Linked DNA regions of Tribolium castaneum. The protein of the gene in region 1 purifies or fractionates together with the protein of each later gene. This does not show direct contact. Links are inferred from orthologs where the notes say so. Each region holds a gene or a part of one and is shown on either strand. Other genes may lie near its edges.

Evidence for each region.
Region 2: the proteins of kibra (region 1) and Mer purify together in Drosophila melanogaster (affinity purification with western blotting; 3 studies listed by BioGRID). This does not show direct contact. The link is inferred for Tribolium castaneum from reciprocal best matches to the Drosophila melanogaster genes kibra and Mer.

Annotation. Positions count from the first base shown.
Region 1 is NC_087402.1:5,113,828-5,117,110, reverse strand, and holds the end of kibra (protein kibra), read right to left. Parts: coding exon 2,269-3,283; intron 2,214-2,268; coding exon 2,024-2,213; intron 1,964-2,023; coding exon 954-1,963; intron 898-953; coding exon 747-897; 3' UTR 662-746; downstream 1-661. UniProt on the Drosophila melanogaster protein: Regulator of the Hippo/SWH (Sav/Wts/Hpo) signaling pathway, a signaling pathway that plays a pivotal role in organ size control and tumor suppression by restricting proliferation and promoting apoptosis.
Region 2 is NC_087401.1:7,792,625-7,796,938, reverse strand, and holds the start of Mer (merlin), read right to left. Parts: upstream 2,955-4,314; 5' UTR 2,835-2,954; coding exon 2,736-2,834; intron 2,685-2,735; coding exon 2,555-2,684; intron 2,508-2,554; coding exon 2,296-2,507; intron 2,251-2,295; coding exon 1,813-2,250; intron 1,766-1,812; coding exon 1,529-1,765; intron 1-1,528. UniProt on the Drosophila melanogaster protein: Regulator of the Hippo/SWH (Sav/Wts/Hpo) signaling pathway, a signaling pathway that plays a pivotal role in organ size control and tumor suppression by restricting proliferation and promoting apoptosis.

The DNA.
Region 1 (3,283 bases):
TTGAATTAAAATTCCAGCTTACGTCAGTTGAACAAAAAGCAAGGTAAAAAAATATCAAAAAATTAATTAATTAATTATTATTTTTAATATCGTCCACTTTGGGACTAATCCTTTAGCACTATTGTTGAGCAGTGAATTAACGGATGAATTGTAAACAATCGAGTCTTTTAAAATAATAGTTTTTTTTCGATATTCGTGTCGGTGTGGGAGTGAAATGAAAATCGTTCTGGTTTATTAACTTTTATTAGAACCATATAATATATTTTTGTGTTTAGAAATGTGCTTATGTTTTTTAAAAACATACCATTTTATATTACATAAACTAGCGCAAAGTAACTATTTACATATAATACAGGTAAAAAATCACGAAAATAACCGTTTATGTAAGCTAACTGATAACAATGATAAACCCAACTAATATAGTTGAGACCTTGCATTCCAAGATGGAGCTCGCCCGCGAAAAACTCGTTAATTTCCAACGAACAAGTGTTAATATAAATATTAAAAACTAGGTGAAAAAAAGGGATGGTAACAAAGTTAAAAAAGATTGTACTAAAATAAGATACAGGCATACAAGAACCGCAGTTTAGAACTGCAACGTATAAAGCGAATACATCTGAGTATTAAATTTGATTTGATTTTCAGATCTAAAGGCACGAAATCACATCAGAAAATATATTTCACGTTTTTCAGGCACGCCGTTTTTACACAATGTACAAATATACAATTTCACTAAATAAATAAAATCAAACTTCGACGCCCAAGACGCGGTCGACGACGTACTCGTAGCGTCCCGACTGTGCACTGTCACTTGGTTCACTGTCTTTCGAATGGCACTCGTCGGGGGGCAAAAAAGGCACATTGCTGTTCACGCGAGTGAAAAACGCCATCTTCTCCCTGACAAAAACAATAAATAAATAACACCAATCAAACAAAAAACACACTAAACTTACTTGAACGAAATGATGTCCGGTTTTCCATTCCCCGCTTTCGTCTTTCTCAACTTGTAAATTTCCTTTGAGACCTTCCGTAACATCTTCTCCACCTTCTTCTCTTCGGGTGTTTTCGGGTTTCGGAAACTCTCCGCGTGCGCGATCAAATTCTGAAACCTTTCGTCCTCCAATAGATAAGTGGCCAACTCGGAATCGCCTCGTTCTTTCGCCTCTTCCAGCTTCGCCTTCAACTCCCTCAACCTGTTCAACTCCGAATGTAACAAATCGAGCCGCGTGTGTTGGGCTTGGAGGTCCAGTTCCAGGTCGAGGGACGTCCGTGCCGTGGTCGGGAGATGGCTCTGCGGCCGTGAGGCCACAGACTGCCTCCTGAACCTCAAAGACCTCCTCTCGATGGCATTACGCTCGAAAGGCTTGCCGCCACGTCGGTACAGAGGCATCGCGCTGTCGCTATCGCTCCGATTCAGCTTGCAAATGTATTGGTTTTTGCTCACGTGGGCACTTGGGGTGAAGGTTTGCGACCTCTTGATGACCCCCCGGTCGTCCAGTGAGGCACCGGCCGCGGCCATTTTCATCTGTTTGGCGTGTTCGGGGTAAAAGGCACATTCGGTGTTGGTTTGCTTGTCGGAAAACGGCTCGAATTCCTCCTCAAGTACCTCAAGCACGTCTTCCTCCTCCTCTTCTTCATCCTCCTCTTCCTCAATCTCTTCATCGCTCTCGCGGTCCATACAGTTGTAAATGTCCTCAAGGGTGAAGTTTACAGTATTGAGGAAATTGAGAGGGTCTTGGTTTCGCGTCAGAGTTGAGGTTTGCGAGGAAATTATCGTCGAATCGTCCGAACTTTCTTCCTTCACTGAGGGTTTCGTTGATGGGTCAATTGGGTCGGACTCTTGGCGGTTGTGGGCCGATTTTGGGTCCTCCCGCGTGTCGATTAGTTGCAAACTCAGGATGTTGTACCATTTTTGGGACACTTGCTGGACGTTAAAGTCGGCCAGACTCACCTGAGCACAACCCTGCCAACAAAACAAAAATTATATTTTTGTCTACCTTTATTATCAGTTTGAAAAACTCACCACACACTTCTCCTGCTCTTCAGTCTTACTCCAAACATTCAGTTGCAGCGTCTTCGTGTAAATTTTATTCGCAGGTACGCTAATATTGAAAACATCGCCGAAGCTCGGCTTCTTCAAGTCCTTCACACACTTGGTGCAATACACAGAGGGGGTGCTCGTCCCGGATGGCAATAGCGCGATTTTCACAAACCTGCAACCCCCAAACTAGCCTCAAACAATCAAAAAAAAAAAAACTGGAAACTTACACTTGGGCATTTTCCGCGATGTACAACGCCCCCAAATTCCTTGCTCGTTCCACCCCCACGTTGAGTATACTCTCACCGGAGGCATACCTCAACTTGATTTGAACTTGCGCCGTTTCCACGTCTTGCTCCACCAGTTTCTTGCGATTTGAGGCTTCGAAAACCCCCGAATCGCCCGCCACCGACTCGTCGCTCACCGCCGCCGAAACCGACCTGGTGTTGGTCCCCGACGACGACGTCCGCGACAGCGCCGTTCCGTCGTGCTCCAAAATGGGGGGCGGCGTCTCCGAGATGGGGCTCAAGGGTGGGTCGCCTTCGTACGAGTACCGACTCAATTTCGGTTGAGTTTGGGGCTGTTCGTGTCCCAATTCCTCGATCAGTCTTTGCACTTGGCGGTCACGCTCGACTTGTTCGTACGTTGGGGGAGGGACAGCGCATGGGAGGTTTTCGTACATGGGGGACACAGGGGGCGACACTGAAGACAGGGAACTACGGGGGGACAAGGACGGTTGGGAGCGGCACGGCGAAGGGGTCGAGTATTTCACTTTGAGGACGCGCTCAACTCGTCGGTGGAGGTCCATCATGTCGATGGGCTTATCCAGATTGGAGGAACACTGCGGCCCGCCGTAAATATCCGTGAAACTTAAACCCGAACTCAGGGAGCCCTTGCTTGAAGTTGTTGATAACGAACCGAGACTAGAACTAGAACTGACTGATAGCGTGCTCGCCGAGAGCGTCTTCAGGTGGGACTCCAGGTGGGTCATTTGGCGTAAAGCGTCCCTTAGTTGTTGGAGCAGCAGTTGCTTCTCTTCGTGGAGTCGCAACCGGTCGGCTATCGCCCGGTTGGACATCTCGAAAGCTTTGTTCAGATCTTGCTCCAGTCTCTTACATTTCAACTGGATTCCGCTCATCTCCTCCTTCGAGCGCATTCGAGGAGTGATACTCCGCAGCTCCCTCAAAAGCTGTTCTTTTTCCTGGAAGAGGAGCAGTCGGTCTTTGTCCGACTCGACTTGTCCCG
Region 2 (4,314 bases), on another chromosome or scaffold:
TGTGGTAATTTCATCTAAAATACGTGAAAAATACTGCACTCATTCGCTGTAGAACAACTTCATAATGAAAAATCAGAGAAAAAACATTTTTATGATTGAACATCGTTTTATTATGGAGAATCTTCAATACGGACACTTAAGATTGTCACTCCAATGAACTCCTTCCAAGTTAATTCACATAACAGGACAGTTCTTAATATTATACAGAGTGTATTAGAAATACCTGTTTTAGTTTTAACACGTAATAAAACTCATGAAATACAACTTTTCTATATAACATTTTGCAAAATTCTTCTTTATAATTTTTAATGTTTTCCTCCATTTTCGGTCAGTGTTTAATAATTAGTTTGTCCGTTTCTGGCACAACGAAAATAGTTGGGCTCTAACTTTTGTTGGGTTCACGTTTCAGTATGTTATCTTTTTCCAAATTTTAAATAAATTTGCAAATTTTTTATTAAAAGATTACAAATAGAATAGTATATTACGAGTTTTATAAGACGCATGCACAGATTTGGAGTAAGTGCGACATCAGTATGTTTTTTTTATGTTATATCCATGAAAATTGGTATTTAAGCTTTTGGTTAAAGATCAAAAACAAATGTTTTAGGATTTTTGGAAATTCCATCCCTAAGACTCGTTATTTCAGTTAAATTTAAAGTCAAAATCCTCAGAGTCAAGTTAATTCGAAGTTGGAAATATGTTTTTTGATTTTAATCTGAAGTTTATATTTAATTCGACATTGTTTAAAAACCGTTTAAAAACGAACTAAATCGATCGAAACAGCCCACTTTTTGAGTCGATTTAGCAAAATCAAAAACGTTCTTCCAAAACGTTAAAAAAACAAAAATTAATACAGATTTCGACATAATTTACTGCTCTTTGTTTTTTCTGTTTTATACATTTTTATGTAAAGGTATTTTTAAAGGCCCTAAAATAACTTATTAGAATTATTATTATAAAACAACAAAATCATTTTCGATCAAATTTGAGCTGTTTTATTAATATTGCGAAAAAAACTGGGTTTTTCAATTAAAAATTCAGATAAACGTTTGAAAGAGGCAAAAAGATAGTAATTTTCTATCTAAATTAATGATTTTTCAGCTTTAAATCTTGCAAAAAAACAAGTAGAAAATCCATTCGCAAGGGGGTTTCCTATAAAAATCCGTAATTTTTGTAAGTAGAACTTGAAAAAACAATGAAACACCATTTTCATTTTTAACCGAAAACTCAAATAACGATTTTCATGGGTATAACTTAAAAAAAATACAGATTTTTATACAAAATTTAACCCCCTTGGGGGTGGAATTCTTATAAAGCACAAAACCTCCTTAAAGAATGATTTTTCAAAACAATCATCTACTGTTCAATTTAATCAATTAACTTATTACAGCTAATAAAACATAATTAATTACAATGTAAATGAAAAAAAGTAATGCGATTACGTTGTAATTAGATTATTGATTTAACTACATTATAATCTGTTTATGCCCAACTCTGTAAGAGGGGCTTTCGGCCAATCAAAACTTACCAGAGCTTCATTAGCCAATCGGATTTCCTCCTGGTACTGGAGCAGGCGCTGTTCCATATTGGCCCTTTCACGCTCCGCCTCCTCTCTCAATTGTTTTTCACGTGCCAGACGATTTCGTTCAATCTGCCGACGTTGTTTCTCTTCTTTGGCGGCGGCTTTCATTTGTTGGAGTTCCATAGAATCGGGTTTACGCCTCCGCATGAATAAATCATGGTTACCCATGCACAAATCAAGAATCTGAAACATTTGTTTTAACCACGCCCCCTCAGACCACACCCACTTACCAATTTATTCATTCTAACTTTTTGGCTAAAGAAGACAAAATTTGGGGAATTCTTATCGACCGGTTTGATAATAAATTTTTTATCGTCAAAACTAATGTGTCGTATTTCGGCCCATGTGAACGTCGTTTTTGGTTGTAGTTTATTTTCCTTTTCGTAGATGTTTAATCCTAGAGGTGTTACACCTAACCACAACTCAGTCTCTTTTTTATTCATTATCGGAAAATAATTAACACCGTACATGTCCAAGTCTTGTGCGATTTTTAAATACTCCATCTCGGCTTCGTCTCGCGACATACCCCTGTGATCTGAGTACCACACTCTTATCCGCTCCTCCCACATGTCTAGAGTCATCTGATACTGGTCGATGACTCTTTGGGGCAACAAATCCTCGTTCGCTAACATTCCCGGTTTGTACGTATCTAGGTCAAAGTCTCCAAACTGGGGGCTGTTAGACAGGGGGAACATTAACCTCAAACTATTTACCTTGGCTTGGACCGCGTAACTGGCTAGCAGGACGGACGCCTCAGGGGGGCAGTACACATCCATAGAGAGAATAGCTTGCTTAACTTGGAGAAAAAAATAGTGTTTTGTTACCTCTTGAACCAGCTCTTCGGCCACTTCTTCGGGGTAGAATTTCGCGAAAAACATGAACGACACCGTACTGTGGGGGTCCTTCTGGATGCTCTGGTCTTGGACTGAAACACACACATGATTTTGGGGGCCCTCTCAGCACCAGACCCACCTTTCTTGTCCAATTTTAACCAATTGATAAACCCTTTTGAATCTTCGTATTGCAAACCGAAATACCAAGTCTCGCGTAACCCGATTGTGCGGCACACTAGCTCGAATAAATCCCTGCCGGTGGCTCGCCACTACAATGCGAAAATTATTCACAGTTTGGAGAATTGAGACGGTAAACATACTTGTAAGTTGAACTCCAATTCGGCGTCCAATGTGCACACTTTCACGGGGAAACTCTTCTCGGATTTCTTTTTGCGAAATGGAGACATTTTTTCTAACATAATCCTCGCTTTTGTAAAACCTATCGCATTATTCAACCGTAAAATAACAACAACAAATAAGGCACAAACATCTCGGTTATGGCATTGACAGATGTCAATTCGGAATACCAACACAATGGCGGGAAATTACTAGGACTTTCGGGCGATGGGGCCCCAGGAAAGGGCTCAAGTGGGCGGTTTCAATCTATATCTTAATGTTTGTAACGCTAAATGTTATATAATGCTCCTGTCGGTTTTATTTTAGTTTAATCACAAAAGTCTAGAGGAAAATTTGGCCGGTAAAACAGATCTCCGATAAGCTTCTTGTCTTTTGAATAAATTGTAAAACCAAAAATTGCTTTTCTTGCTTTTTAATAAAAATTTAATCAGGAATAGGTCTTGATAATTTTATTTTTGACTATGAGGCTTAATTTTTGTTCGGTTTCATTGAGTATTTAGCTCAAAAACGTGTTTGAAATAAAAGTATAGCTTTTTTCGATTCAGTTCGGTGATTTCATGGTTCACGAAATAATTGCATTTCTGGGTGAAAAAGTGGAAAAATTAACTCATTTTCGATCAAATTCAGAACATGTTTAACTCGATTTACGCTAATATCGAAAAAAAAAACGCGTTTTATCTCAAAACTTGCTTAAACTCTCAAAAAATGTGACAAATTATAATATTTGTGTTAATTTTTCGATTTATTTTTGAGGAAATTTCTCAAAACCATTGGGTTTTTGTTTGAAAACGTGTAATATCATGTGAAAACCCAATCGTTTAGCTCAAAAACATGCTTAAACACTTTAAAAATGCGATCATTGTGTTCATTTTTTTAATTTTTCCGTATATTTTTGAAAAAATTTCTTAAAACAATTTGGTATTTGTTTGAATAACGTGTAATACATGCGAAAGGCCGAATTTTTTGCCCAAACACGTGCTTATGCGCTCGAAAAATGCGCTATTTGTGTTAATTTTTTTAATTTTTGAGGAAATTTCTCAAAACTACTGGATTTTTGTTTAAACAAAGTGTAATAATATCATGCGAACGGCCGAGTTTTTAAGTCATAAACGTGCTTAAACGCTCAAAATATGTGATACTTGTGTTCATTTTTAAATTAATTTTTGAAGAAATTTCTCAAAACAGTTGGGTTTCTTTTTGAACAACGTATAATCTCGAGAAAATCCGAGTTTTTATCTTGAAAAAATGCTCAAAAATTCAGCGTTTTTTGGATAATTTTTAAAAATTAATTGATTTTTAGTTTACAAACATGCATAATACAACAATAACACCATTTCCGATTAATTTGGGCAATTTTTTGGTTTTATTTGACGACTTTTCACGAAATAATTGGCCTTATAGACGCGGAAGTGGTAAAATAAATTTATTTTCGATCAAATATTGTGAATTTTTAGTTTAGTTTAACAGACAGGGTGTGGCGTCTAAACCCACATTAGAAGTAATGGTAGTTCTAATAATGATAGTCATCTGAAAATTTGTATA